Linked DNA regions of Callithrix jacchus. The protein of the gene in region 1 interacts with the protein of each later gene in a pairwise test. Links are inferred from orthologs where the notes say so. Each region holds a gene or a part of one and is shown in the gene's direction. Other genes may lie near its edges. The genes, in order: ATF4, golgin subfamily A member 8J, JUNB, DISC1, NFE2L2, BFSP2 and GCC1.

The links.
Region 2: the proteins of ATF4 (region 1) and golgin subfamily A member 8J interact in binary tests that used the Homo sapiens proteins (3 or more experiments, as listed by UniProt). The link is inferred for Callithrix jacchus from reciprocal best matches to the Homo sapiens genes ATF4 and GOLGA8F.
Region 3: the proteins of ATF4 (region 1) and JUNB interact in binary tests that used the Homo sapiens proteins (3 or more experiments, as listed by UniProt). The link is inferred for Callithrix jacchus from reciprocal best matches to the Homo sapiens genes ATF4 and JUNB.
Region 4: the proteins of ATF4 (region 1) and DISC1 interact in binary tests that used the Homo sapiens proteins (3 or more experiments, as listed by UniProt). The link is inferred for Callithrix jacchus from reciprocal best matches to the Homo sapiens genes ATF4 and DISC1.
Region 5: the proteins of ATF4 (region 1) and NFE2L2 interact in binary tests that used the Homo sapiens proteins (3 or more experiments, as listed by UniProt). The link is inferred for Callithrix jacchus from reciprocal best matches to the Homo sapiens genes ATF4 and NFE2L2.
Region 6: the proteins of ATF4 (region 1) and BFSP2 interact in binary tests that used the Homo sapiens proteins (3 or more experiments, as listed by UniProt). The link is inferred for Callithrix jacchus from reciprocal best matches to the Homo sapiens genes ATF4 and BFSP2.
Region 7: the proteins of ATF4 (region 1) and GCC1 interact in binary tests that used the Homo sapiens proteins (3 or more experiments, as listed by UniProt). The two-hybrid records come from large-scale screens. The link is inferred for Callithrix jacchus from reciprocal best matches to the Homo sapiens genes ATF4 and GCC1.

Annotation. Positions count from the first base shown.
Region 1 is NC_133502.1:190,271,470-190,275,401, forward strand, and holds ATF4 (cyclic AMP-dependent transcription factor ATF-4), read left to right. Parts: upstream 1-1,311; 5' UTR 1,312-1,502; intron 1,503-2,098; 5' UTR 2,099-2,190; coding exon 2,191-2,416; intron 2,417-2,517; coding exon 2,518-3,347; 3' UTR 3,348-3,432; downstream 3,433-3,932. UniProt on the Homo sapiens protein: Transcription factor that binds the cAMP response element (CRE) (consensus: 5'-GTGACGT[AC][AG]-3') and displays two biological functions, as regulator of metabolic and redox processes under normal cellular conditions, and as master transcription factor during integrated stress response (ISR).
Region 2 is NC_133509.1:69,816,190-69,820,397, forward strand, and holds the start of golgin subfamily A member 8J, read left to right. Parts: upstream 1-1,408; 5' UTR 1,409-1,559; intron 1,560-3,222; 5' UTR 3,223-3,237; coding exon 3,238-3,342; intron 3,343-3,953; coding exon 3,954-4,013; intron 4,014-4,158; coding exon 4,159-4,208.
Region 3 is NC_133523.1:11,614,676-11,618,489, forward strand, and holds JUNB (transcription factor JunB), read left to right. Parts: upstream 1-1,478; 5' UTR 1,479-1,769; coding exon 1,770-2,813; 3' UTR 2,814-3,314; downstream 3,315-3,814. UniProt on the Homo sapiens protein: Transcription factor involved in regulating gene activity following the primary growth factor response. Binds to the DNA sequence 5'-TGA[GC]TCA-3'.
Region 4 is NC_133520.1:53,273,396-53,277,584, reverse strand, and holds the start of DISC1 (disrupted in schizophrenia 1 protein), read left to right. Parts: upstream 1-1,389; 5' UTR 1,390-1,457; coding exon 1,458-1,521; intron 1,522-4,189. UniProt on the Homo sapiens protein: Involved in the regulation of multiple aspects of embryonic and adult neurogenesis. Required for neural progenitor proliferation in the ventrical/subventrical zone during embryonic brain development and in the adult dentate gyrus of the hippocampus.
Region 5 is NC_133507.1:52,142,925-52,146,618, forward strand, and holds the end of NFE2L2 (nuclear factor erythroid 2-related factor 2), read left to right. Parts: coding exon 1-21; intron 22-680; coding exon 681-872; intron 873-1,499; coding exon 1,500-2,726; 3' UTR 2,727-3,194; downstream 3,195-3,694.
Region 6 is NC_133518.1:50,728,877-50,732,866, reverse strand, and holds the start of BFSP2 (phakinin), read left to right. Parts: upstream 1-1,190; 5' UTR 1,191-1,200; coding exon 1,201-1,689; intron 1,690-3,990.
Region 7 is NC_133512.1:119,385,751-119,390,050, forward strand, and holds the start of GCC1 (GRIP and coiled-coil domain-containing protein 1), read left to right. Parts: upstream 1-1,500; 5' UTR 1,501-1,902; coding exon 1,903-2,934; intron 2,935-3,783; coding exon 3,784-4,300. UniProt on the Homo sapiens protein: Probably involved in maintaining Golgi structure.

The DNA of each region.
Region 1 (3,932 bases):
GGCTCAGTGAAATGGAGGCGGAAGGTTTCCACCTTCGCGGGGCCTGACTGGAGGGAGCTGGGGGACTATGGGGAGGTTTCTTGTATTCTTTAAACAGACTACCCCTTCCCAACGCACAACCCCCAGCAAGTGGCCGTGGGTTCCCAGGCGCCTCTCCTCCCAGGGCCATGAACGTGACTGCTGAAAAGCGGGTTAGGCTGGGGAGTTCAGAATCCGGAGTGAATCGAAACTACCCCAGAGAGACGGCAGCGAAGAAAAATCCTGTTCCTAGGGGAACAGAACGGAACCTGAGGCCACCAGAAGTTCCCCTCTGATGCAATTCCGTAGCAGCCTTGCACTTGAGCCGGATGAGAACTGTAAAAACCCAGGTTGGACGACAGGATGGCGCGTCTTCCCGGCTCCTTTCCAGAGTTTAGGAGGGGCCATGCAGACTCAGCCGGCCTTTGCGGGCAGGTAGGCGAGGACGGGGCGCCCTCTTAAGACCCCTTCAGCCTTCCGAGGACAGCACCATGTTGGCTATGGATGGGGTCTCTGGAAGACTCAGGCTTGGTGCAGGTAACCCCGCGGCTTCCGCAGGCCATAAATCAGCGCAGCGTGCACCGAAGAAGCGCGCAGGCTGGGAGCGGCGACATAGCCGCCAGCGCGGACCTCCATTGAGGGCGGCGGGACCGACAGCTGGGGCCGGGCCTCGAGGCCGCTGTGGGTCGCATGGCACTAAGGCCACCTGGGGGCAGAAGTCGGCGCGATCATGGCGGGCTAGCAGGCGGGAGGGGCTGAGACAGAGCAGACAACCCCGAACCCCGGCCCTTCCCGCGCAAGCCCTGGGCTCCCTCTCGCAGCAGCCACCCACCTAGGGCCCTGAGCCAATAAGAGCTCGAGGTATATATGACTCACCGCGCCTGGGCCAATCAGCTCGACGCGCGCTCTACACCAGCACCTCGCGCGATAACCTGGCGGCCTCGGCCTTCACAATGAAAACCCTCTGTGGGAAAACCACCTCTCCCCGCCCACTGCGCCGACACCGGAAGCGAGGCGTGTCTGAGAGATCACTCCGCGCTCCGGCGGCAAAGGTAAGAACGGACTCTTTAATCATAGAAACTAATAAAGTAGTGCGCCTCTCTCCTTTCATGAGGCCATAGAAACAAATTCCTTTTCCTGTCACAGCTGCGCCCGGACATAGGTGGTGGGGGCGTCAGAGGGAGGGAAGCGAGCAGACGGGAGGAGACGGTCACGTGGCTGCTGCGGAAGGATAAGTCTGTGCTGTGTTCCAGCGGAGGCGAACTTTATAAAGGGCCGACGGGCGGCGGCTGCGGCCATTTCTACTTCTCTCTCTCATAGATGTAGTTCTTCACGCACGTGCGCGCCTTCCCTCCTCCCCGCCCGCAGGGTCCAAGGCCACCATGGCGTATTAGGGGCAGCAGTGCCTGCGGCAGCGTTGGCCTTTGCAGCGGCGGCAGCAGCACCAGGCTCTGCAGCGGCACCCCAGCGGCTTAAGCCATGGCGTGAGTATCCGGGCGGGCTATCCAGCCGTGCTCCCTGGGTCGGCGAGGGTTTTGGGCTGGTGGGGCGCGGCATGGGGCCGGGACGGTGCCGCCAAGAGGGAAGCGATTTTACGAGCGCCAAGGACGCTGTAGTCTCTGCTTGGGTGTTTCCGAGACGCTCGCGTACCCGGGGCCGGGAAAGCGCAGCTAGGTGCCAGGACTGCTTCCCCGGGGGTCTCGCCACCCTCGTACCTCGAGACGTTTCCCTGAGGGTCTCAACTGTCCCACCCGCGAAACGTGGCAGAAGCCAAGATGGCGGCCGCAGGGCGGCGCCGCGGGCGTGAGTCACGGGCGGGCGGTGGGCGGGGCGTAGCCGCCCTGGCCGTATTTGGACGCGGAGACGGAGCGCTTTCCTGTTGGCCAGTGAGGGAATGGCCGGTCCTCCACGATCGTCCATTTTGTGGAACCTGAGCTGGAAGCGGGGGGAGGGGGGCTGGGGGGGGAATACATCTGCCCTGTCTCTAGATGGCCGGTTTAGCCGTCCCACCTCATAAGTGGAAAGATGAAATTCTTAGATCAGCTAACGTAATGGGACTTGGCTTCTGATTCTTATTCAGGCTTCTCACGGCATTCAGCAGCAGCGTTGCTGTAAGCGACAAAGACACCTTCGAATTAAGCACATTCCTCGATTCCAGCGAAGCACCGCAGCATGACCGAGATGAGTTTCCTGAGCAGCGAGGTGTTGGAGGGGGACTTGATGTCCCCCTTCGACCAGTCGGGTTTGGGGGCTGAGGAAAGCCTAGGTCTCTTAGATGACTACCTGGAGGTGGCCAAGCACTTCAAACCTCATGGGTTCTCCAGCGACAAGGCTAAGGCGGGCTCCTCCGAATGGCTGGCTGTGGATGGGTTGGTCAGTGCCCCCAACAACGGCAAGGGTGAGTAGGCTGCCACCAGCCACATCCAGGTGGGATCTGGGGTTAGGGGCTTGCTATCTTTGTGTCTGACTCACTGGGCCCATCACTCGTATCTTTTGCAGAGGATGCTTTCTCCGGGACAGATTGGATGTTGGAGAAAATGGATCTGAAAGAGTTTGACTTTGATTCCCTGTTGGCTACAGATGACCTGGAAACCATGACAGATGAGCTTTTGGCCACGTTAGATGACACATGTGACCTCTTTGCCCCGCTAGTCCAGGAGACTAATAAGGAGCCCCCCCAGGCGGTGAACCCAATTGGCCATCTCCCAGAAAGTTTAACAAAACCCGACCAGGTTGCCCCTTTCACCTTCTTGGAACCTCTTCCCCTATCCCCCGGGGTCCTCTCCACCACTCCAGATCATTCCTTTAGTTTAGAACTGGGCAGTGAAGTAGGTATCTCTGAAGGAGATACGAAGTCAGACTCCACTGCTTACATAGCCATGATCCCGCAGTGCATAAAGGAGGAAGACACCCCCTCAGATAATGATAGTGGCATCTGTATGAGCCCAGAGTCCTATTTGGGCTCCCCCCAGCATAGCCCCTCTGCCAGGGGCTCCCCAAATAGGAGCCTCACATCTCCAGGTGTCCTCTGTGACTCTGCCCGTCCCAAACCTTACGACCCTCCTGGAGAGAAAATGGTAGCAGCAAAAGTAAAGGGTGAGAAACTGGATAAGAAACTGAAAAAAATGGAGCAAAACAAGACAGCAGCCACTAGGTACCGCCAGAAGAAGAGGGCAGAGCAGGAGGCCCTCACTGGTGAGTGTAAGGAGCTGGAAAAGAAGAACGAAGCTCTAAAAGAGAGGGCAGATTCCTTGGCCAAGGAGATCCAATACCTGAAAGATTTGATAGAAGAGGTCCGCAAGGCAAGGGGGAAGAAAAGGGTCCCCTAGTTGAGGGTAGTCAGGAGCGCAAGGTGCTTGTACATAGGAGTCTCTCGCTGTAGCTGTGTGTGTGAATAAATTATTTTGTAGTGAATACTTCCATGTGTGTAATTCCTTTTGGCACAGTAACAGAGTGAAACCGCTACCATCCGCCTGCCCCATGCTGGTCTTAATGTGCCCTGTGCAATCTGGGGAGGAGGGCAGTCTAAGACTAGATTTGTACCCAGGGTGGGATTTGCTTATCCCTGCTAGGTGTAGACCATGGTGGCTGATGACTTTGATGGGGCTCTCTAGAGCTGGTTGTAGCAAGCTGGGTTTTGGCCAGAGCTGAGTGCTGGTCAGGTAGGGAGGCGGTTTGAAGGGAGGAACAGCCTGGGCCTTCACCTGTGTGTTCAAGGCCTTCGTGCCAACATCCTGTCACATAAAACCCTGGGCAAGGTTGCACACTCCTTGAGGTGAGCACGTAGGATTAGGTTTCACTTATAACCTAAACAGTTCTGCAGAAGCCTCTGAGAAACAGCTCCTTTTGGGACTTGATGTTGAAGCAGGACGCGGGCTGGAGACAGGCCTCTTTCTCCTTACCTGGGGGTGGAA
Region 2 (4,208 bases), on another chromosome or scaffold:
ACCACTGCACTCCAGCCTAGGAGACAAAGTAAAACTGTCTTAAAAAAAAATAGAAGAACCTGGCCCCATGCCTTTTGGGTAAAGAATAATAGACTTATACTATTATCCCCTGTTGCAGGTAAAAACAAACAAACAACAACAAAAACCGAGTCCAAGTTATTGGGCCAGGATCAGTGTGACAAGACTAGAACACACAACAGTCTGACTTCCAAATGCATCTCTGTCAGGACATTAGATGAACTCTACAATCACTTTTTCTCAGATTGGCCCCTCCCCAGCCATCCCAGTAATGTCTAAAAAGTAAATATTTTCCTATATTACCAGGAATAAATGTTTAGAAAATTATATAAGTATGGCACAATAGCAACAAAACATGAATAGGGGTCGGGTGCGATGGCTCATGCCTGTAATCCCAGCAGTTTGGGGGGCCAAGGCAGGCGGATCACAAGGTCAAGAGATCCAGACCATCCTGGCCAACGTGGTAGAAACCATGTCTCTACTAAAAATACAAAAATCAGCCGGGTGTGGTGGCGTGCGCCTGTAGTCCTAGCTACTCGGGAGGCTGAGACAGGAGAATCGCCTGAACCTGGGAGGTGGAGGTTGCAGTGAGCCAAGATCGTGCTACTGCACTCCAGACTGGCAACAGAACGAAACTCCATCTCAAAAAAAAAAAAGAAAGAAAAAATATATAAATGGGAATAGAAATAGTCCTAACTGGAACTATTGACCCATGTGGGGAAAGTAAACAACTTGACTGTGAGACCGCCTGTTGCTAGATCGAAGTGCTATTGTAAAGTTAGTTCTCTTCCAAACTAATGTGTAGACTTAGTTATTCTAGTCAAAATACTAAAAAAAAAAAAAAAATTTTAACTTAGAATTGCCAAGCAACAGACCTTAGCATATGTAAGAATTTAATATATGATAAAATTAGCACCACAAATCAACGGGAAAATAATTCTAGGGAAAAAATAACTATGTAGGAAAAAATATTCCTCGTCTTCCATCTTACATCAAAATGAAATCTAGGTGGTTTAGCAAGGTAATTAAAAAATATATATTTTAAAAGAGAGCTAGAAGAAGGAAAAAGAGACAGAAAATAAAACAGGTGAAAAACAGATCTCCATGTGGTAATCCACTTCCTTTTTTTTTTAAAGTATACAGACATATATGTTTTAAAGTTTATTTTTTAAAGCTTTTAAAGGAAAAGCCGACCCCTCCCTCCTCCCGGAGTGGGCGGCCCCTCCCCTCTCTGAGTGGGCGGAGACAGCAGTTTCTTGGGCAGCTTCCCGCATGACACCACTGGTCCTGTGGTCCCTTTCATCTTTCTGATTGACCAATGGGCTTGGAGCATTAAGGCCACGCCCCCTATTTATGTTCTAGTGGGGCCCTGGTTACGCCTCCCTGGCTCAGTCACACAGCTGCCTGGTAGGTGACTGGAGCTGTTTACCAGTGCTTGCCTGATTTTGCTGATGTGACCCCAACCCCGCCTCCCTCCCCACCCCGCGATATCAACGTCCACAAAGTCTCGAGATAGCCAATTGGCAGAGCCAAAAAAAAAGGTAAGACGTACCAGGTCATGGCCCCCCAACCCAGCCACAGATCCCCTCCGATGGCAAGACTGCTGCCAGAGTCCATACCACTCCTGAGGCACACGGGACTGGGCCCCCCAACCTTGGAGCCTCTGAGCTCCCCCCACCAAAGTCTTGTCAGTCCAACCCATCCTTTCAGCAAGCAGCCCCGTCCCTGCCATCGCCAATCACCCCAGAGTGACTTTGGGCGGGTGACTCCTGGGACTCCCCACTCCATACGTGGCCCTTGCTTCCTGCCTCCCCAGGATCAACCTCCCTGGGCTCCTTGGGCTTGTGTCTCCAAGGACGTGGGTCCCCCAGCCCTAGGCCCCACCCTCACCAGTCATCCCTGGGTGACTTTGGGCTGGTGACTCCTGGGGCTCCCTGCTGCAGACTCTGCGCTCCCCTCCTGCTTCTCCAACCTCAACCTTCCAGGGCTATTTCAGCTGGCCTCTCCAAAGACCTGGGTCCCAACCCTGTGTTTCCCTCCCCATCATGGAGCAGCAACTCTGGCGTGGCACTGATGTGGTCCCCTCCCCCTGGAGTAGAATGTAATGATGTCACCATCCCTCTACGAACTGTCATTACTGTTGCAAGACCTGGCTTTGATCTTATGACCCAGTCCCCTAAGGGTTCTCATCCCATTTCTGGTTCCTCTTGTCACAGAACACATTTCCAGCTGGCAGGGGAGTGGAGACTATGGGACCTAAGAGCAAGAGCTTTCAGGCTGCCTCACTCCCTTAACATAGACATTGACAGTGTGAGAAGCCTACACTTCCCCTGTGAGCTCAAAATGTTAACAGTTTCTCTGGGTGGCAATGGAAGAATGGGTTTGGCTTGGTTTTCTTCCAGGCTTCTGCTCTCCAGAGAGACTTTAACATTTTGCTCTGAGTTCTCCACCTCATATTCGAATTCTCCATAGTTCTGGGACCAACTGCCCTTCAGTCAGTGGTCTCTGGAATGAGATCTCCTCATCTTCTACTGAATAGATCTTGGGAAACAACTTGACAGCTTGAATCTTCCTCATATCATCTCAACCTGGGGTACTTCTGAGTGCCACAGGAAAACTGTGGGATATCTTTCTGAAGTATCAGTTTCTCTTGAGTCTCTTGAGAAAGGAAAAAACAATAATGTACTTAGGGAGGACAGTCACATGGGTTTCTAAGAGTATACCCGACTTCTCTCTGAAATGAGGCTTGGGCTGTCATCTTGCTGAGAAATACCCAGATTTAACAGAAACGCTGCCTTCTGCCATGACGACACATCGATATAAAAGTGTGAGCAGTACTGGCGCACTTCTAACACCAACAGATGTGTGAAGGTGTATGACTGTAAAACATACAGTGTACAGGTCCTGCTACTTAATGTTGAGTTTTTCTACCTCTGCCTCTGGTTTTGGTCCCTGGAAGCTGCTGATTCATGGGAAAATCCCAGAGCTTGGAGTCAGAAGACTGAGTTTAAGTTCCAGTATTGCCTTTTTTTTTCTTTTTGCCATATCAGTCCCTCTCAGTCTCTGATTGCGACAACACCTTGTACAGTTGTTGGTGGCATTAAATCAGATGGTGTATAAGAGTGTATTGTAAAAACTGTAAAGGGGGATGTGGCTGTTGGGGCTGGTGGTTCTCATGAGTATTACTGCTCTTCTTTCCCACAGTTAAAAGAATATCAGATGAGGAAGAGATCTGGTGTTGACGAAGGAGCGAAAAGAAAATTGAACAAAAAGGCCAGTAGCCCTGAGTCAGCCGCCTATGGTGGTTGCCAGTCACCTGGGGATGTGAGTCTTGGCCAGCCAGTCTCCTGGGGATGGGGGGAGAGGGGATGCCCAAGGGGCAGTGGAGGGTAATTGCTAAGATTGTGGATGGACTGTCAGGTACTGGTTAAGAATTCTGGGTTTGAATCCTGCCTCTCCATCTGCTAGGGATACGATTTAGGCAAGTTTCTTGAGCTCTTTGGGCCTCTCTTTTCACATCTGTAAAATACAAGCGGCATTGTTTGAATTCTATTTGTGAAGTTTAAGTGAGATTTGTGATTGTCAGTGTTTTTATGTTAATCTCCAGTACATGGCCTGCTGTAAAGAGCCAGGACACCCAGGAAATGGTCGTTGCTGTTTGATTTTCCTCATCCTCAGTCTCAAGGGGAAGCCAGGCCAATGAGAACAGCCACTTCCCATCAGCCTGTCCCTTCAGCAGTCACTGAAAGAGCCCCAGAGTGGGAGGGTGGGGAGATAAGAACCACGAGAAAAGCTGGCACAAAGGGGTTATGGGACAAAGGGTCCGAGATAGGCAGAACAGAAAATTTTGCCAGTTGATGGGAAAGAAAGGAAGTCAGAGGTCTTAGACACTGAGGGGGACAGAACATTTCCATGCACACTTTCATCTCTTGTAGTCAGAAATGGGTATGCACACAGAGGGCCCTGTGTCATGTACTGCTGCGAAAGATATGGAGGTAAGAGGCCCTGCGCCGAGGTGCAGTGACCCTGCAGGCCAGCCCTCCAGCCTCCTTCCACAGCGGGGGCTGGGTGCCCTTCTGCCAGCTGAGACAGCCCCCATACACCATAGCCCTAATGATTGTTCTCTCTACCTCCCCCAAGTTCTCCTCCAACTCCTCATCTCTGCATGCACCTCGGAGGCACTACCAAGA
Region 3 (3,814 bases), on another chromosome or scaffold:
CCCGGCCCTGAGTCCTGCCGGCGGACTCCCGCCTGTTGCCATGGCGACCAGGCCCAGCTCTTGGGCTGCGTTTCCCGCTGTCGGTCCAATGGAACAGTCCCCAAGCTGTCTGCCTCGGCGATCCCCAGCAGGCGCCGCGGGAGGAACCATTGCCTGGGGGGAGAGGATGGTAGCTGGAGGCTTCTGCTGCTGGGCCGGCTCCAAGCACCAGGGCCTCCGCGTGGGCTCGCACGCCCAGGTTCCTCTTCCGAGGCGCAGGATGCGGCGGGACCCAGGGCGGGGCGCAAGGTCCCGTAGGATCCGAGTGACGGAGACAGGGCCGGGCTCCTTCCCCCGGGGCTGTTGCCACACTTCCTGCCTCGGCGCTCTTTCCCCAGCCTGTTTCTAAGGAAGGGAGTGTGGGGTTGGGCGACCGCGCCCCAGCCGTCGGGCTGGGTCCAGGCGCCGACAGGGTGTCGGGCAAAGCCCAGGGTCAATAGGGGAAGAGTTTTAGGATGGGGGACAGGGAATGCAGATGCCTAAGGGGTCACCCACGAGGGGGAGCACCAGTCATGGAAGATCAGCAGTCCGGGTGCGTGGACCCCAAAGCCCCCTCCTCACGTCAACTGAGTACCCTCTTACTGTCTTCTCTGCTCCGAAGATGGATCCGGATCCTTCTATCTCTCCTTCATCCAGGCTTCGCGGATAACTCCAGTGGTCCCCAATCTCTGCTAGACGTCTACATCTTCTACCCCGCACATTTTACCTGCCTCAGTGTACAGCAGGACCCTTATTCGCTTTCTGCATATCTAGATTTCTCCTAATTCCTCTTTCCCACGTATGGGGAGCTCTCAGATCCTCCCATGGGCTTCGGGACCCCTACTCATTTCTTGCAATTTAATGGGTCATGCAGCCCACCACTGTCCCCTTTTGATCTCTCCTCTCCTCCATCCTGTGAAAATTCCAGTACTCCATCCCTCTGTGCTTGGGGCCCCCAGTCAATTCCTGTGTCAGGTCTCTCCTTACCCCTCCCGATTTACCGTTAGTAACCCTCATTTCTGCTTTTTGGGGTCTCCCAATGAATTGTCAGTCCTTCCACCCCTCTCGTACTCTGGGTACCTCAGGGTTTCTTCGAACACCCTGGGATCTCCACCCCATTTGCTCCGTACCAGGTCCTGGTATTTGTCCCAGTGGGCTGGAGGGAAATCATCCTCCTCCCTGAGCGCCCTCACTCATGTGTCCAGGCCCCTCAGCACCTCCTTCCACGCGGACCCCGGGGTCCTTTGAGCCCCTCCCCCTGCAGCCCCGCCGAGCCACCCGGCCCGTGGCCGCTGTTTACAAGGACACGCGCTTCCTGACAGTGACGCGAGCCGCCTCCTCCCCTTCCCCACGCTCGAGGAGGGGGGCGCGGGGGCCCGGCTCCGGCGACGGCCAATCAGAGCGCACTTCCGTGGCTGACTAGCTTCTGTATAAAGGCGTGTGGCTCAGGCTGAGCGGCTGGGACCTGGAGAGCGGCCGGACCAGCTTCGGAGCCAGCAGGGAGCCGGGAGCTGGGAGCTGGGGGAAACCACTCCAGGAAAGCTAGCGCGCCGAAGAGGGTGAGGGGGACTCGAGAAGCCTGACAGCTTTTGCGTACAGCTTCCGGCTGGCTGCTCCCCGCCCGCGCCAGCCCCGGAGAACGCGCGACCAGGTACCCAGTCCGGCCACCGCAGCGGAGAGCGCGGCGCTCGCTGCAGCGAGGCCCGGGGCGGCCCCGCAGGGACCTTCCCCCGACCGCCTGGGCCGCCCGGATGTGCACTAAAATGGAACAGCCCTTCTACCACGACGACTCATACACTCCTGCGGGATACGGCCGGGCCCCCGGTGGCCTCTCTATACACGACTACAAACTCCTGAAACCCGGCCTGGCGCTCAACCTGGCCGACCCCTACCGGAGTCTCAAAGCGCCTGGGGCTCGGGGATCCGGCCCAGAGGGCGGCGGTGGCGGCAGCTACTTTTCTGGTCAGGGCTCGGACACCGGCGCGTCTCTCAAGCTCGCCTCTTCGGAGCTGGAACGCCTGATCGTCCCCAACAGCAACGGCGTGATCACGACGACGCCTACACCCCCAGGACAGTACTTTTACCCTCGCGGGGGTGGCAGCGGTGGGGGTGCGGGGGGCGCAGGGGGAGGCGTCACCGAGGAGCAGGAGGGCTTCGCCGACGGCTTTGTCAAAGCCCTGGACGACCTGCACAAGATGAACCACGTGACACCCCCCAACGTGTCCCTGGGCGCTAGCGGGGGGCCCCCGGCTGGGCCCGGGGGCGTCTACGCCGGCCCGGAGCCACCTCCCGTTTACACCAACCTCAGCAGCTACTCCCCAGCCTCTGCGTCCTCAGGAGGCGCCGGGGCTGCTGTCGGGACTGGGAGCTCGTACCCGACGGCCACCATCAGCTACCTCCCACACGCGCCGCCCTTTGCCGGTGGCCACCCGGCGCAGCTGGGCTTGGGCCGCGGCGCCTCCACTTTCAAGGAGGAACCGCAGACCGTGCCGGAGGCGCGCAGCCGGGACGCCACGCCGCCGGTGTCCCCCATCAACATGGAAGACCAAGAGCGCATCAAAGTGGAGCGCAAGCGGCTGCGGAACCGGCTGGCGGCCACCAAGTGCCGGAAGCGGAAGCTGGAGCGCATCGCGCGCCTGGAGGACAAGGTGAAGACGCTCAAGGCCGAGAACGCGGGGCTGTCGAGTACCGCCGGCCTCCTCCGGGAGCAGGTGGCCCAGCTCAAACAAAAGGTCATGACCCACGTCAGCAACGGCTGTCAGCTGCTGCTTGGGGTCAAGGGACACGCCTTCTGAGCGCCCCTGCCCCCTTACGGACACCCCCTCGCTGGACGGCTGGGCGCAAGCCTCCCACTGGGGTCTAGGGGGCAGGCGGTGGGCACCTACCCTGGGACCTGGGAGCGCCGCTAACCACACTGGACTCCGGCCCTCCCGCCCTGTGCCCAGTCCTTCCACCTCGACGTTTACAAGCCCCCCCGGTTCCACTTTTTTTTGTATGTTTTTTCTGCTGGAAACAGACTCGATTCATATTGAATATAATATATTTGTGTATTTAACAGGGAGGGGAGAAGGGGGCGATCGCGGCGGAGCTGGCCCCGCCGTCCGGTACTCAAGCCCACGGGGACATTGGGAAGGGGACCCCCGCCCCCTGTCCTCCCCTCTCTGCACCGTACTGTGGAAAAGAAACACGCACTTAGTCTCTAAAGAGTTTATTTTAAGACGTGTTTGTGTTTGTGTGTGTGTTTGTTCTTTTTATTGAATCTATTTAAGTAAAAAAAAAAATTGGTTCTTTATTAATTTCTGTTGTCTTTTTTTCCAAGCTGGGAGGGCCGAGGGAAAAAAAAAGCAATGGTTTGCCCCAGCTCAGTGCTGTAAGTGGCTCGGTCCTGTGTGTGTTCCCCTCTTCAGCTCTGCGCAGGCATCTTGTGGCCCGCCCGGGAGTCCCACCCTATACGCGCCTCCTGATCTCCAGGGTTGGATGGTCGGGGCGCGGGGCGCGGGGCGCGGGACGCGATTTCGGAGCCCAGTAGCAAAAGGCAGGGAGCTCTGCGCGAGACGCGGAGTGCGCAGGCGCGGCCCCGCCCAGCCGCGCGCGCCGGGGCTTTCCCCGCTGACGCAGCGGAAGCGCTGCCCATATAAGGACCGATTCTGCCCAGTGACGCGACCGCGGTCTCTGGGCAGATTCCGGGAATCCCCTCCCCCGCTCTGCCGGGCAGGGCCGCGGCGCCGGGAAGGGGGCCGGGATTTTCCCGGGCAGGCGGCTGCCCGGGCACGGAAAGCCCCAGGCCTGGGTCCAG
Region 4 (4,189 bases), on another chromosome or scaffold:
CAAAACACGAATTTTAGGCACAACTGTATGCTTTCACTCATAAGATCGTCAGCTTTTGAAGGACCTCAGCCTTCCTCTAGTTGTAACTCCTCTCGTTCTGAGGAGAGCCTTCCCTTTCCTGTAGAACGTCTCCCCAATCCTTCTTCACAACCCTCCCTCCTATCCCTGAGCCACCTGCAAGAAGGTTTGTGCCAAGCCTCTGGTACATGGCACATTCTAGCTCCTGATGTGATTTGGTTTCATATGCCCGTGCTCTCCTTCTGGCCTGGAGGGGAGCTGCTTAAGGACACAGAGCCCACGTGTAGCCCTTCCTTGTACCCATTGTCCTATATAGCAGGTGCTACCTAGGGGGTGCTCTAGTAGCTTCCTTGAATGAACCAAAGAGAAGGGTTGAATCAGCGGCCTAGGAGCAAGCTTGCATGGACTCCTGTGTCCTGAAACCAGCCTGTGTCCGGGAACCACTCCAGAGCGGCTGGAAGATGCTAGAAATTGGAATTCCATCTCATTTCTAAACATCTGCTGCCACTCATCTTTTTTCAGGGTCATCGGTCATCCCCACTGTTCCCCCCACCCTCCGCACTTTGTATAATTGAGTCTCTCACATCCCTCCATCTTCTCCATCACTGTGTGGTCACTTCTCAAATCACGCGTCTGGAAGGCGCCCTCCTCTACCCGGTGCTGAAGGCCTCCCGCACTTCCCCTCGTTTCCTCCAGAAATGAGCCACAGTGAAAGCAAACTTCCTGAGGTCCCGAGATCCCGGAAACCGGCTGTGAGGGCCGCTGGCCCGCCCGCTCCAGCTGCGCGTGTGTGCGTGTGTGTGCGTGTGCGCGCGCGTGTGCGTGTGTGTGTGTGTGCGTGTGTGTGCGCGTGTGTGTGAGCGCGCGCGCGCGTGTGTGCGCGTGTGTGTGTGTGCGCGTGCGCGTGTGTGCGTGCGTGTGTGTGTGCGTGCGCGTGTGTGTGCGCGTGCGTGTGTGTGTGCGTGCGTGTGTGTGCGCGCGCGTGTGCGTGTGCGTGTGTGTGCGTGTGCGCGTGCGTGTGTGTGTGCGCGTGTGTGTGTGCGCGCGTGTGTGTGTGCATGTGTGTGTGTGCGCGCGCGTGTGCGTGTGCGTGTGTGTGCGCGTGCGTGTGTGTGTGCGCGTGTGTGTGTGCGCGCGCGTGTGTGTGTGCATGTGTGTGTGCGCGCGCGCGTGTGTGTGCGTGTGTGTGTGCGTGCGCGTGTGTGTGTGCGCGTGCGTGTGTGTGTGCGTGCGTGTGTGTGTGTGTGCGCGCGCGTGTGAGGGGCCAACCCTGGAAAGGAAACCGCGGCCTGGCAAAGGAGAAGAAAGGAGCCGCCCCCTGCGTCGCCAGCCCCCTCCCCACTTCCGTCCTGCGCGCCGCTCCCTTCCCCCGCCTCTGGCCTCGGGGAGCGAGCAGCAGCCGCTCGGGCGGAGCGGGAGGAGCTGGCAGCGGGAGGAGCATGCCAGGCGGGCGTCCTCAGGGCGCCCCGGCCGCCTGTGGCGGCGGCGTGGGCCACTGCGCAGGTAAGGGAGCTGCCACCACGTCCTAGCATGTCCTGGGGGGTCTTGGCAGGGAGGGCGCGCTCTGGCCCCCAGGAAGTCTTGTAGGTCGGGGCGTGCCTCTGTTGACAACCCCTTTCGAGGTGAGGAAACTGAGGCAGGACGCGCGGCGTGCGGGGTTGAGAGAAGAGCCAGTCTTGGGCTGCTAGCCCGGTGCCAGCGCCGAGCCGGGCCAGGTCCCAGACCCAGGACTGTGCAGCTATCCCCTGACCTGCGCCCCCGCTGCGTGTCCTGGTGACCGGGGAGGGTTGCCAGGGCGTGCTTGGGTTTTGGATCCGTCCCGGGACACCTGCGCCGCGCTCACTCTCCTTGCGGTGCTCCCCAGCCTGCGCCCCCACGGGACAGGGGACGTCCCACCCACCTTAATCCCCAAACCCTGGATCTCTGGTTCCACCCCTTCGGGCACCTAGGGGGAGGAGGCTGGGAGAGGGACCAGGAACTGGTGCCTGTGGCTCGGCTACGGGCTGCTCTGAAATCAGTTCCACCGCCCACTTCCTACTAGGCACGCCCACGGCCCAAGCCGGAGACTGCTCGGTTTCCACCGCCGGAGCGCGGGTCTCGCGGTCAGCTCTTAGTGATGCCCACTGAGTGGATGGTTGCTTTTCAACATCACTCTTAAAATATTCGCAAAGGAATGTGAGGTTTTCCAAAGTCAGTGAAATTTGGAGTTAGGGAGTGCTTCCTTGTGTCCTTGCTGGGTGAGGACAGGGCTGGGTCAGTCACTTAAGCCTGAGCCTCAGTCTCCTGAACTGTAAAAGAGAACACTTATAATCTGGCCTCCCTGTGTCGTTAGCTTTGTTGTATGGGAATTCACTTTGCAGTGTTATCATCGTCCAGACAAACTTGAGATGAACAACACTAGGACCACATGAGCTGGGGTTTGGAGACAGTCTGCATGTCAATCCTGGACTTACCGATGCCTCAATTTCCCCGTTATTAAGTGGACACGATCACAGTACCTGCTTCATAGTGTTGTTATGCACTTTAACTGTGACCGTGGACGTGAAGCACCTCACCCAATGCTTGAGATACCCAGCGTGCACTCAAAAAACCTTAGTGGCTGTTTTTACTAAGCAAACTCTAAATAATTGGGAGGAACGTGATAATACCAGTTGGATTTTATTAATGTAGGAATAGCAGGACATTTAAAAATAAATGTAGTTTTTTACACTCGGCATGATACATGAAGTCGTCTGAGGTTCAGTTTTGTGCCACAGAGGAAAAAGAGCCCTGGACAAGAGACATGCAGCTTTTCTGGCTCTTGGAGTTTGAGCCTGCTTTCTCATCTGTTTACATAAAAGATAAAAGAAAAATGGGGGTAGTAATTACTGCCTTTTGTTCTGATCGCATTGTCTGAGGATCAAATGAGGTAAAAGATCTGAAGGCACCTTACGTGCGGAGTGTGAGTCACTAAGCACATATCACACATGATAGTACTAGGAGGGAAGAATAATATCTGCGCATTTTTAGAACTTAAAATGTGCCAGACATTTCATTAGGAATTCCTCTGATGAACTCCTCCCCATATCTGTATGGGACTGGGATGACAGTCCTCATTTCCCTATGACAAAGATAAGGTTCAAGGTCACCCTGCTTGGTTCCCAAGCTCACAGAGCTCTTGAGCATAAAGCCAGGATTAGAACCCTGGTGTGTGCCACTCACAGCTGTGTTCTCGGCCACTGGCCAAACTGAAATTATAGGGTGGAGCCGTGATTCAGAACAGACCTATATTAGATTTTAGGTAACTTTTTGTTTTTCTTTAAGAGATACAGGGTCTTGCTCTGTCACTCAGGATGGAATGCAGTGGCGCAGTCATGGCTCACTGTAGCCTTGAACTTCTGGACTCAAACAATCCTCCTGGCCCAGCTTTCTGAGTAGTTGGGATTACAGGCACATGTCACCATGCCGAGCTAATTATTTTTTTAGAGATGGAGTCTTGCTATGTTGCTCAGGCTGTCTTGAGCTCCTGGCTTCAGTCATTCCTCCCACCTTGGCCTCCCAAAGCACTAGCATTACAAGCATGAGCCACTGGGCCCAGCTTCCATCCTGCATATCTATAGACCCAAAATGTAAGACTGAATTGTTAGTTCTGGCAAAAGAGGCTTTGGGGTAATTCTAATTTCTTTCAGCCTTGTTTTATAAAATATACTTTAAACTACCTTCTTGTATAATGAATGATGACAATTTGCAGAAAAGTTATTAAAACATTGAAGGAACAGAAGGCGAGATCTCATTGCAAATCTCAAAGTGGTATCTGGATTAATGCTTTGTTTTACCATTCATTTGCCAGAACCTTTAGGATGCCACATGAGGTGTTAACAGGGATCCAGACTTTGGGTGTCGTGGTTACCTTGCAGGGCTGGGCCGCAGGACTTTTCTGCAGAAAGCTCATTGCTCACCCAAGATGCCACCAGAGGAAGCAGAAACTTCTGAGAGGAGCATGAATGTTCTTTGTGCTGCAGAAACAATTCCTAGTTTACTTGTTTCCTAAATTAAGTTTATCTTACGGGTTTTTATTTTTCCAGAAGCAATGCTTGCTCATTACAGGAAGCACAGAAAACTGTAAACTAGTAAATGAACATTAAAAACTACTGTAATCTCAGCAAGGTAGACAAATAGCTTGGTGTCTCTG
Region 5 (3,694 bases), on another chromosome or scaffold:
CCGTTTGTAGATGACAATGAGGTGACGTATAAAACAACTGATAAATAGCAAAACTCCATAACTATATAATAACAATCATATTCTATGTAAGTCCCTTCAGTAAGTCTCCATTTAAAAGAGTAAACATTTTTAGGAGGAAATTTTTTAACCAAGGAAATACTCTGTCAAGGAAACCTTAGTCTATAGATAACTTTACAATTAAGAAAAAAAAAACCTTCACATAATATAAAACCAAAATCATTTACTATCGCATAGCCAGAAACATGGACAGTATAACCATGGAAACAAATAACTCATTTGTTACAAGTATCTAAGAGGTTTTGGTGAGTAAAGAACAAGCTGGGCAATGAACGAAGACTTGTTAACAATTTTAATAAATCTGTTTTATCTAGTACTACTGTGCTAGATATTACATAAACTAAATCCTAAAGATTATACTTAAACATTTTAAAGCTTACTTTCAAATGCTTAGGCTGAAACTATTAGGCCAGCAAATAGTAAATGTGAGTCAGTAGGGTTAGGAAAAAGACTTGTTTCATTATTTACAAACAGGAGTCATGATTGGTTAGTAAGTAGAGACACGGAACTGCAGCTGATTCCACTTTGTGTCGTGACGGTGCCTTAGAGCTTACTCATCTTGTTGGTGGAAGACTCATTAATCAATGACTTATCAATTTTAGGTTTCTTCGGCTACGTTTCAGTCACTTGTTCCTGATATTCCTAGCCACATCGAGAGCCCAGTCTTCATTGGTACTAATCAGGCTCAGTCACGTGAAACTTCTGTCGCTCAGGTAGCCCCTGTTGATTTAGACGGTATGCAACAGGACATTGAACAAGTTTGGGAGGAGTTATTATCCATTCCTGAGTTACAGGTAACCAAAATAGAATGTAATACTGAAGATATTATTTTATATTTAGTGCCCTTTAGTCATTCTGATTATTTATGTGCCACCTATTTATAGGAACGATTGGAGGGTGCCTTTAAATTAGTCATGAGTGCTGCCCATGCTAGTTAAGTGGGTTGGATATCCTGAGGAATTTTTTTTTTTTTTTGAGACAGAATCTCACTCTGTCACCCAGGCTGGAGTGCCGTGGTGTTATAACTGGGACTACAGGTGTTATAACTGGGCTACACCACGTCCAGCTAATTTTTGTATTTTTAGTAGAGATGGGGTTTCACCGTATTGGCCAGGCTGATCTAGAACTTCTGACCTTGTGATCCACCCACCTCAGCCTCCCAAAGTGCTGGGACTACAGGCATGAGCCACCTCGCCCAGCCAAGGATAGAATGTTATAAACCTGACATCTGATGTGGGAACTCTGAAAATAATCCGTATACTTAGGCATGAATACGTATTAGAAATGAGAATTATCTCTGAATTACAGGGGTAATAAATTATAGAGATAAGCCTGGAGAGAATGTGGATAGGAAGTTTATCTAAATTTATTGCATGTGGATTAACTTTGATTTATATAGTATAAACTTCTTTCTCATGCAGTGTCTTAACATTGAAAATGACAAACTGGTTGAGACTACCATGGTTCCAAGTCCAGAAGCCAAAGTGACAGAAGTTGACAATTACCATTTTTACTCATCTATCCCCTCAATGGAAAAAGAAGTAGGTAACTGCAGTCCACATTTTCTTAATGCTTTTGAGGATTCCTTCAGCAGCATCCTCTCCACAGAAGACCCCAACCAGTTGACAGTGAACTCATTAAATTCAGATGCCACAGTCAACACAGATTTTGGTGATGAATTTTATTCTACTTTCATAGCCGAATCTGGTATCAGCAACAGCATGCCTTCACCTGCTACTTTAAGCCATTCACTCTCTGAACTTCTAAATGGGCCCATTGATGTTTCTGATCTATCACTTTGCAAAGCTTTCAACCAAAAGCACCCTGAAAGCACAGCAGAATTCAATGATTCTGATTCTGGCATTTCACTGAACACAAGTGCCAGTGTGGCATCACCAGAACACTCAGTGGAATCTTCCAGCTATGGAGACACACTGCTCGGCCTCAGTGATTCTGAGGTGGAAGAGCTAGATAATGCCCCTGGAAGTGTCAAACAGAATGGTCCTAAAACACAACCAGTACATTCTTCTGGGGATGTGGTACAATCCCTGTCACCATCTCAGGGGCATAGCACTCCCATGCATGATGCCCAATGTGAGAACACACCACAGAAAGAACTGCCTGTAAGTCCTGGTCATCAAAAAACCCCATTCACAAAAGACAAACATTCAAGCCGCTTGGATGCTCATCTCACAAGAGATGAACTTAGGGCAAAAGCTCTCCATATCCCATTTCCTGTAGAAAAAATCATTAACCTCCCTGTTGTTGACTTCAACGAAATGATGTCCAAAGAGCAGTTCAATGAAGCTCAACTTGCATTAATTCGAGATATACGTAGGAGGGGTAAGAATAAAGTGGCTGCTCAGAATTGCAGAAAAAGAAAACTGGAAAATATAGTAGAACTAGAGCAAGATTTAGATCATTTGAAAGATGAAAAAGAAAAATTGCTCAAAGAAAAAGGAGAAAATGACAAAAGCCTTCACCTGCTGAAAAAGCAACTCAGCACCTTGTATCTCGAAGTTTTCAGCATGCTGCGTGATGAAGATGGAAAACCTTATTCTCCTAGTGAATACTCCCTGCAGCAAACAAGAGATGGCAATGTTTTCCTTGTTCCCAAAAGTAAGAAGCCAGATGTTAAGAAAAACTAGATTTAGGAGGATTTGATCTTTTTTGAGCTAGTTTTTTGTACTATTATACTAAAAGCTCCTACTGTGATGTGAAATGCTCATACTTTATAAGTAATTCTATGCAAAATTATAGCCAAAACTAGTATAGAAAATAATATGAAACTTTAAAAAGCATTGGAATGTCAGTATATTGAATCAGTAGTTTCACTTTAACTGTAAACAATTTCTTAGGACACCATTTGGGCTAGTTTCTATGTAAGTGTAAATACTACAAAAACTTATTTATACTGTTATGTCATTTGTTATATTCATAGATTTATGATAATGACATCCGGCTAAAAGCAAATTATTGCAAAACTAACCACTATGTACTTTTTTATAAATACTGTATGGACAAAAAAATGGCATTTTTTATATTAAATTGTTTAGCTCTGGCAAAAAAAAATTTTAAGAGTTGGTACTAATAAAGGAATATTATGACTGTTAAAATTATTTCTTTGGAATTCCTTTGAGTTTATTCACACAGTAGTGTTTTCCATAATCATCTATTTAATACATTTAGATGTTTTGCATCTTCAGAATGTTTTCTTTGAAAATATGAAAAGAATTTTATGCTAAATTTCTAGTGACAGGGTTATAGAGAAAGTATATCAAGAGGATACTTTGCCTCTTCAATAGCAGGTACATCTAAACCCAAAAAATGTTATACACTGACATGAACGCATTGATTGATTTATTCCTGTAAGTAAATAATACACACTATACACTAGGCAGGGTTTGAAGTAGAAAGGAAAAAAACCAATACCCCTACCCTGGAATTTGCATTCTAGTGAAGAGGAGGTAACAAGGGTACTCCACTGTTAGAAGTGGATGGGGTAAAACAGTAAAAACATCACAGCACAAAAATAAGGCTATAAATGGGAAGAGCCTTACTGAGGTGGCAATATTTGAAGGTGTGGGAGAAGCCCTTCTCATAGCTAAGAGCACTG
Region 6 (3,990 bases), on another chromosome or scaffold:
TTGGCACTCACTAGAGGTTGGCTCCCTTCTCCTTCTCTCACCTGAGGTACGTTCCTACATTACAGCATCTCGAAAAATATCCAGCTCTGGGGTTTGGTGACCTGATTTCTCCAGGCTAAAACTTAAATACAGAGATTTTTAGGCCCGTGTTGTCATCCTGGAACTTGAGGAACCTTTCTGATCCTAGAGAACTGATTGAGGTGTGACCCTTGATGGCTTAGTGGATGCCAAGATCAAAAGTTAAAACCCAGGGGTGTCCTCATACCTAACTTGAAGCACCCTTGGAGAGCTTGCCAGAAAATGCTCTCTTTGTCGTTTTTATGTATCAGTTTTCCAACAGATAGAGAAGCAGAGGTGGAGAGAATGGCCAGAACATAATGTGTGGGGCCTGAATTTGCCCAAGGTCCTTATCTGGCACATCAGAGAGTTAGAGGCTCAGGCTGATGTTCAGAAAGTGAGGTCCAGAGGGAGGAAGTATCCTGGCCAACAACAAGCAGCTGATGAACAGAGAATCTGAGGACAGAGATGACGAAGGAAGGAGAGAGGCAAGGGAAGGACCTGAAGCTGCTGCCAGGACTGAGAGAGGGGGAAGGAAACCACAAGCAGGGGCTTTTCTCTTGGGTCCCTGGGGCTGCGTCCTGCCGTTTTTCGTCCTCTACTTCTTGTGTGGACATGTGTTCACATTCACATGTGCCAGCACACATAGGGATGTAGAAACCACTGAAATTAGCCCTGAAATAGCTGGATTGAGTCCTAGCTTGTAATGTGAGCTCTGGGACAAGTGATCACTTGTGATCTGAGGTCATTGAGCCTCAGTTTATTCGTCTGTAGAATGGGGTTGCTTGATGCCTGCCTTGCCCACTCTTAGGTAATAAAGTGCACGAACCCAGATGATCTATCCCCACAGCCTGCACTGATCCAGCCTCCCCCACCACCAGCAGAAAAATCTGGGAGGTTGGGCACATGACCCTACATCAAAGAATGCATGAGTGCCTCTCTGCACGCAGCCCTGGCCAGTGCCCATTTCTCTTTCAGCTCAGTGAATGATGGAAACTCATGGAAGACAGCAGACAAAGCAGCCCCGGGGATAGGGGAGATTCCAGAGAGGCCCGTGACCAGGCCACAGGGATGCTGGGGCTGTAAACCAACAGCCACTGGACTCTGTAAACCCACTTGGGCACCACAGAGGCAGAAGGGGTGATGAGTGAGAGGCAAGTAGTAGTGGACTTGCCCACCAGTGCCAGCTCCAGCATGCCCCTGCAGAGGCACAGGGCATCCTTCAGGGGGCCGCGGTCATCATCCTCCCTGGATAGCCCCCCAGCCTCCAGGACCAATGCCATGAGTGGCCTTATCCGAGTACCTGGGGTCTATGTAGGAACAGCACCCAGTGGGTGCATAGGTGGCCTGGGTGCCCGTGTGACCCGCCGGGCCCTCGGCATCAGCAGTGTCTTCCTTCAGGGCCTGCGGAGCTCAGGCCTGGCCACAATGCCGGCTCCAGGTTTGGAGCGGGACCATGGTGCTGTTGAGGACCTAGGGGGCTGCCTGGTGGAATATATGGCCAAAGTGCATGCCCTTGAGCAAGTCAGTCAGGAACTGGAAACACAACTTCGGATGCACCTGGAGAGCAAGGCCACGCGCTCGGGAAACTGGGGTGCCCTTCGGGCCTCCTGGGCCAGCAGCTGCCAGCAGGTAAGTGTCCAGGCTGTGCCAAGGGCTTTGCAGAAGGCTGGGAGGGGCTGCTGAAGGCAGGGGGTAGGGTTTTTCTGGTCTTTCTCAGGCCAGAAAAACTGACCATAACCCCTACACTTTCACACTTAAAATGCTAATCATAACAACAATGCCACTTTTTACCGAGGTTTACTAGGAGCCCATGCTAGCCCCGTACGTGTACTATTCACTATCTTCTGTACCCTTCAAATAAATGATATGCAGTGGATCATTCATTGATTACATTTTTGAGATGAGAAACTGAGGCATGTAATTTGCCCAAGACTTCAAAGCTAGAGGAGGGATGGAGATGAGATGTGAACCTGAATTTTTGTGTCTCCAAAGTCACATTTGCCCAATTACCCTGGGCTGCCTCAGCGACCTTTACTGTTGAGAAAGGATTTTTACAGCCATTATCCAATCAAATACCATCAGATGGACATGGTATTAAAAACAATGAATAAATGGAGGCGTGTTCCTGTATCCACCTGCAACCACGCTGTTCAATAGAAATCGGTACATCGGTAATTGACAAGCTTCTATTGCCCACGGTAAAACAAGTAAAAAGAAACAGGTGAAGTTAATATTATAGCCTATTTAACTCCATATGTCCAGAATGTTATTTCAACATGTAATCAATACAAAATATATTAATGAAATAATTTACATTCAAGTAGAACTTTCTGCATGATGGAAATATTAATATCTTATATCTGCACTGTCCAATCTGGCAGCCACTAGCCATATATGGCTATCAAGCACTTGAAATGTGGCTGAGACTGAGGAATTGTATTTTTATTTTATCTAATTTTCATTAATTTAAATGTAAATAGCCACAGGTAGCTAATGGCTATCTTACTGGACAGGGAAGGATGCCCAGGTTTAATCTTTCTCCCCTGCTTGGTCAGCCCTGCTTTTCCCACTCTCCAGGGTGATTTCTGCAGAGCCTGGAGCTCATCCATCATGTCTGGCCTGCAGCCTGTGGTTCTAATGCTGGGACTCCAGCCAGCATTATACTTCTCAGCTGGTCTCTCTGTGGATGGCTGGCTTCTCTCCTCCCCTTTCTCTCCAGATGCTGGCCTTGGGATCCCTCTGAGCAAAATCAGTCTCTAACCCACCAGGGACTACCAACTCAGACCCTTGGCCCCTAGAGTCCAGCATGCAGCCTCCCAAGAGGAGGTCACAAAATGTTATTTGTGTGTAGCTGGGGGGATGCTGAGCAGGTGCACACAGGGACTCCCCATTTGCCCCTCCTGCCTCCTGCTTCATCCCAGGATGCTTCTCCTGCAATGCTGTCAGTGCTCACTGACAGCACAGAGCACATGATAAACAGCACTGTCCTCTCAGGCTCTCCCCCGGTGCTGCTGTTCCGCTTGCCTCCATCTGGGCTGCTCCATCTTTGAACAGTCCAGGCCCTGAACGCCTGTCAAATCAAAGAGGCAGCCATTCCTCCAGGATTCTTCACAACTGTCCTGTTTCCAAACATTGTGCCCTAACAACCACCAGAACATCCCTGGATACTCTACTATGTCAGCATCTGCTGGACAATCGCTTGCACTCAGGTGCCAGACAGACTTGTCAGGAGAAACCAGGTGTCCCGATTTCTAGGTCAAAAAGTAGGGCCACAAAAACTTAGTTTATACTCTATAGATACTGACTTGCTCTGGCTCCAGAGAGCTACAAGGGCTGTTGCAACTTACTGACTTCTCTGGGCCTCAGTTTCATTATCTACAAATGGGTGTAATCATGCTTGGATATTCTAGCAAATCCATAGATAAATAAGATGCCTGGCTCCTGCCTACAAGCAGAGTACAGACTAGGAAGCTCTAAAATCCTGTGAGAGCAGCACAGCCATGCGCCAAGACACGCACCCTCTGTCACTGAGGATCAGGCTCCCACATGGCTCCCTTTCCTCTTAAGTGACTATAAACGAGATCTTGGGTATGAGAAATGGTCTCTTTTTTCTTCTTTTTTTAAAAAAACATGGACTTGAAGATAGAGTCAGAACAATCAATAAAATGGAGTTATTATTTCTTTTTTTTTTTTTGAGATGGAGTCTCCTTCTGTCACCCAGGCTGGAGTGCAATGGCATGATCTTGGCTCACTGCAACCTCTGCCTCTTGGGTTCAAGCAATTCTGCTGCCTCAGCCCCAAGTAGCTGGGATTACAGGGGCCTGCCACCATGCCTGGCTAATATTTTTGTATTTTTAATGGAGACGGGGTTTCACCGTGTTGGCCAGGCTGGTCTCAAACTCCTGACCTCAGGTGATCTGCCCCCTCTGC
Region 7 (4,300 bases), on another chromosome or scaffold:
GAACAGACCGCCAGGGCCTGCCCCATCCCTACCTGCAAAGTCTGTAACAAGCACAGACTTTGGGAAACAGGAATGAGTGAGCGCATGACTTTCCTCTTCTCTTCAGTCATAGACGTGCATCCGTAAGAAGGCTTTTCCAAGGCTGAAGAGTACATTTTAGAGAGTCCCAACATAATAACAACTAGTGGTCACCAAGTTAGGTCAAGTCTACGTTTAGCTCTTTTATCAGCCTCTTTTGTCTCCATCTCTGTTGTCACTACCTTCTCTTCCCCATGACTGAGTCTCTTCACAGGTCTCCTGCCCCTTGTTCCCTCCACCATGTCATACAAACCTTGATGACATTCCACTTTTCAGATTAAAATCCATTAGGGCCTTACTATCACCCAAGATAAAATTTAAATGCCATAAGTTGGGTCCCTGCCTCTCATGCCAGCCCCTCTGTTGTCCCCTCCTTCACATACCCTAAACTTTTGAATGCATTCTGGGTGAGTCAAACTCTGATACCCTACAGGTCTTTGCATTTTTTTCCCACCTGCCTGGAATGCTGGTTTCCCTGATCTCTGGTTAGGTGGACAATCAGGACTCATACTTCAAATCCCAAAGTATTATTCCCAAGAGCCTTCCATTCTTCATTGAGCCAGGCCTCTTTCCTCTCTTAACTTTCCTACCACTTTGAATATACCAATACATACCGGTGTTATAGCAGGACATGTTTGCATGTCTAGTTCCTCACTAGATTGTGAGTTCCCTGAAAGCAAGGTCGTATCTCTTAATGGTGTTATCGTCTGGTACAACACATAATACGTTGAGAATCAGACTGATTCAGATAGAACTAAACTTCTTAGCTCTGTGGTCTTGGGCATGTTACGTATAACTTTTTGCCTCATGTTCCCCTATTTGTAAAATAGTGCTAATGAAAATAGTGCTTATAATAATTATCGTGAAGACGAAATAGCAAAACTCTTGTGCGCTCCTTGTACATAGCTGGCACTCAGGATAGACACGGCTATAGAGTGCCCTCCATAAATATTTGTTGAATCAACTCAGCAGAACTAAGGAAGCGTACTGACTATTACGCTGTATACCTACTAGGTGCCAAGCCTTGTGCTAGAGTACTCCAGTTTTCGCGGTCTATATGCAAGTCTTTAATTGTTGCCTTTTAGGGATATGGGACCTGAGCCCCCAAATCCTTGGATGCGTCGTTCACCTAGGTGTTTGTTAAGAACGCTGTGCGACGTTGCCCTCTGTCGCTCGCTGATCGTAGCCCGAGGTCAAGCTTAGGCGCTCTCACAAAACCCAGACCACTCTGATGTTTTCGGCTTTGCTTGTTTCTCCTTTCCCAAACCTGTTGGCCGCTCGCTACCCTACTGCGTTTTCAACAGGCCGCGCCCACCCACTGGCGGACTGGGCTCCGCCTAACTCGCGCCCACTGGGGGCGGGGCTTGCGGCGCCTAGCTGACGTCACTTCCAGCGGACACGGAAGCGCGGTAGTGGGCAGGCAGTTGTAGTTAGGAAATCGTGATGGGACGCCGCTCTGCGTGAGCACCTGACCGACGTGGGCCGAGCGGGGCCGGCCCGGGCTCCTGTGGCCTGGACAGAGCGGAGAGTGTGGAGCGGCTTCTGGGCCAGCGCGGACGAGCCCTGGCCGAGCGCGCCTCTGGTGCCAGCGTCGCCCCGCCTCCAGGGTAGTACCCGCCCCACCCTCCGGGCTTGGGACCAGGCGGGCACTTTTGTCTGTAGGTTCCGCCTATCCGCATTAGGTCCGGGATAACTGGGTGCAGCAGGTGTGCGGCCCGCCGCCGGACAGCCCGCTGGCTGTTTCTTGAAGCCCTTGCCTGCCTCTTCGCAGCCCTCTCTTGGGCTACTGGAAAGCTGAAGTGGAGCAGTCCGTTCAGAACCTTCATGGAGAAGTTTGCTATGAATTTCGGTGGCGGCCCGAGCAAGAAAGACTTGCTGGAGACTATAGAGACGCAGAAAAAGCAGCTTTTCCAGTACCAGGCACGGCTCAAGGATGTGGTCCGTGCCTATAAAAGCCTGCTGAAGGAGAAAGAGGCGCTAGAGGCCAGCATCAAGGTGCTGTCGGTATCCCACGAGGCAGATGTGGGCCTCGCAGGTGTCCAGCTTCCAGGCGTCGCCTTTCCGGACTTTGTGGATGACCGGTGCTCCACTCACAGTGAGGATAGCACTGGGACCGCCACTAGCGTGGATACGGCAGCCAGTCTCACCAGCACCAAGGGCGAGTTTGGGATAGAAGATGACAGACCAGCCCGTGGACCACCACCTCCGAAGTCCGAAGAGGCCAGTGGGTCAGAGAGTGGTGTTAGCAGTAGCAGTGGGGATGGGCCATTTGCGGGTGGGGAGGTGGACAAAAGACTGCACCAGCTGAAGACTCAGTTGGCTACTTTGACCAGTTCTTTGGCCACAGTCACTCAGGAGAAGTCCCGCATGGAGGCTTCTTACCTGGCTGACAAGAAAAAGATGAAACAGGACTTAGAGGATGCCAATAACAAGGCAGAGGAGGAGAGGGCTCGCCTGGAGGGAGAATTGAAGGGGCTGCAGGAGCAAATAGCAGAAACCAAAGCCCGGCTTATCACGCAGCAGCATGATCGGGCCCAAGAGCAGAGTGACCATGCCTTGATGCTGCGTGAGCTCCAGAAGCTGCTGCAGGAGGAGAGGACCCAGCGCCAGGACTTGGAGCTTAGGTTAGAAGAGACCCGAGAAGCCCTGGCAGGACGATCATATGCAGCTGAACAGATGGAAGGATTTGAACTTCAGACCAAGCAGCTGACCCGTGAGGTGGAGGAGCTGAAAAGTGAACTGCAGGCCATTCGAGATGAGAAGAATCAGCCAGACCCCCGGCTGCAAGAACTTCAGGAAGAGGCCGCCCGCCTTAAGGGCCATTTCCAGGCCCAGTTACAGCAGGAAATGAAAAAGGTAATTATCCACCTCTCTTTCAAACATAGTCATTGATCTGAAGTGGGAAATACTAGGGTTTTTTTCCTCCTTTGCTAGTGAGAGCTAAGTGTTTGTACTGTCATTTTTGATGCTACCTGAAAAGTTCCACTGGTGAGTCCCGGGAAGTGCTGTTTTATGTGGTGTTGACGTAGAAGCTTCCAGGAGGATGTGGAGCTTCTCAGTGTAGGCTGGGTTGGAGCCAGTCAGCCCTGCCCTTCTGGGCATTGGCATCTTACCAGCTGTGTTCTATGAAGCAGTATAGTGGCAGCTGTACAGTAAAAGGTAGTGTATTTTCTGTTGGTATGTGCCGCTAGGGAGGGTGGCTGAAGGCAAAGGGGGATTTTCTCAGAAGTAACCTCTTGTCATTGCCTTTACTTAAGATTTGCCTATTCTGGAGAAATGCTATTTTCCAGAATAGGCCTCCTTTCTGGTGGAGAAAGGGGGCTTCCTTCCAATGTGGTGAGGGAGCTCCAGCTCAGTTTTGAACTACTAGGAATATTAGATAAGGAAAAATCTTGTATGATTTCTTAAGATTTGAGGAAGCACCTGAAAAACAACAGTGACACACATTATATGTGAGTTAGGTGGAAAGCAGAATGGAATGGCAGATATGCCAAGGTGCTTAATATTTTTTAGTATAATATGTCTTGCAGAACCCAGGCAGGTCATAGGAACTTTTGTTAGCTCCTGAATCAACCGAAAAATCCCTATTTCCCATTCTTGTCAGGCCATTCCAATCCTGTGACCCTTTTGCTCCCCTGTCCTGCTTTCTCAAAGTTTGCTGTGGGGCTTTTGTGGATGCATTATTTCTCTTCCCTTATTTTGCAGACAGCTCTTGCAGAGGATCAACTCCGTCAGCAATCTCAGGTGGAAGAACAGAGGGTGGCAGCCCTGGAGAATCAAATATCTGAGGTGTCGGAGCTGCTGGGCACGTACGAGAAAGCCAAGCAGAAGGACCAGCTGGCCATCCAGAAGCTGAAGGAGCGTATTCTGCAGCTGGACCTGGAGAACAAGACACTGGCTCTAGCAGCCTCCAGCAGGTCCCCTCTAGACAGCCATGGAGAGGAGTCTAGTCTGGATGTCAATGTCCTGAAGGATAAAATGGAGAAGCTGAAGAGACTGCTGCAGGTTGCAGCCAGGAAAAGCCAGGTGACCCTGGATGTGGAGAAGCTCTGTGACCTGGAGATAATGACCAGCTCGGAGACTGCTGATGGGGAGAAGGCTACTGCACTCTATTACCAACAGGAGCTGAAACAACTGAAGGAAGAGTTTGAGAGGTACAAGATGAGGGCCCAGGTGGTCCTAAAAAGTAAGAATACCAAAGATGGTAATCTGGGGAAGGAGC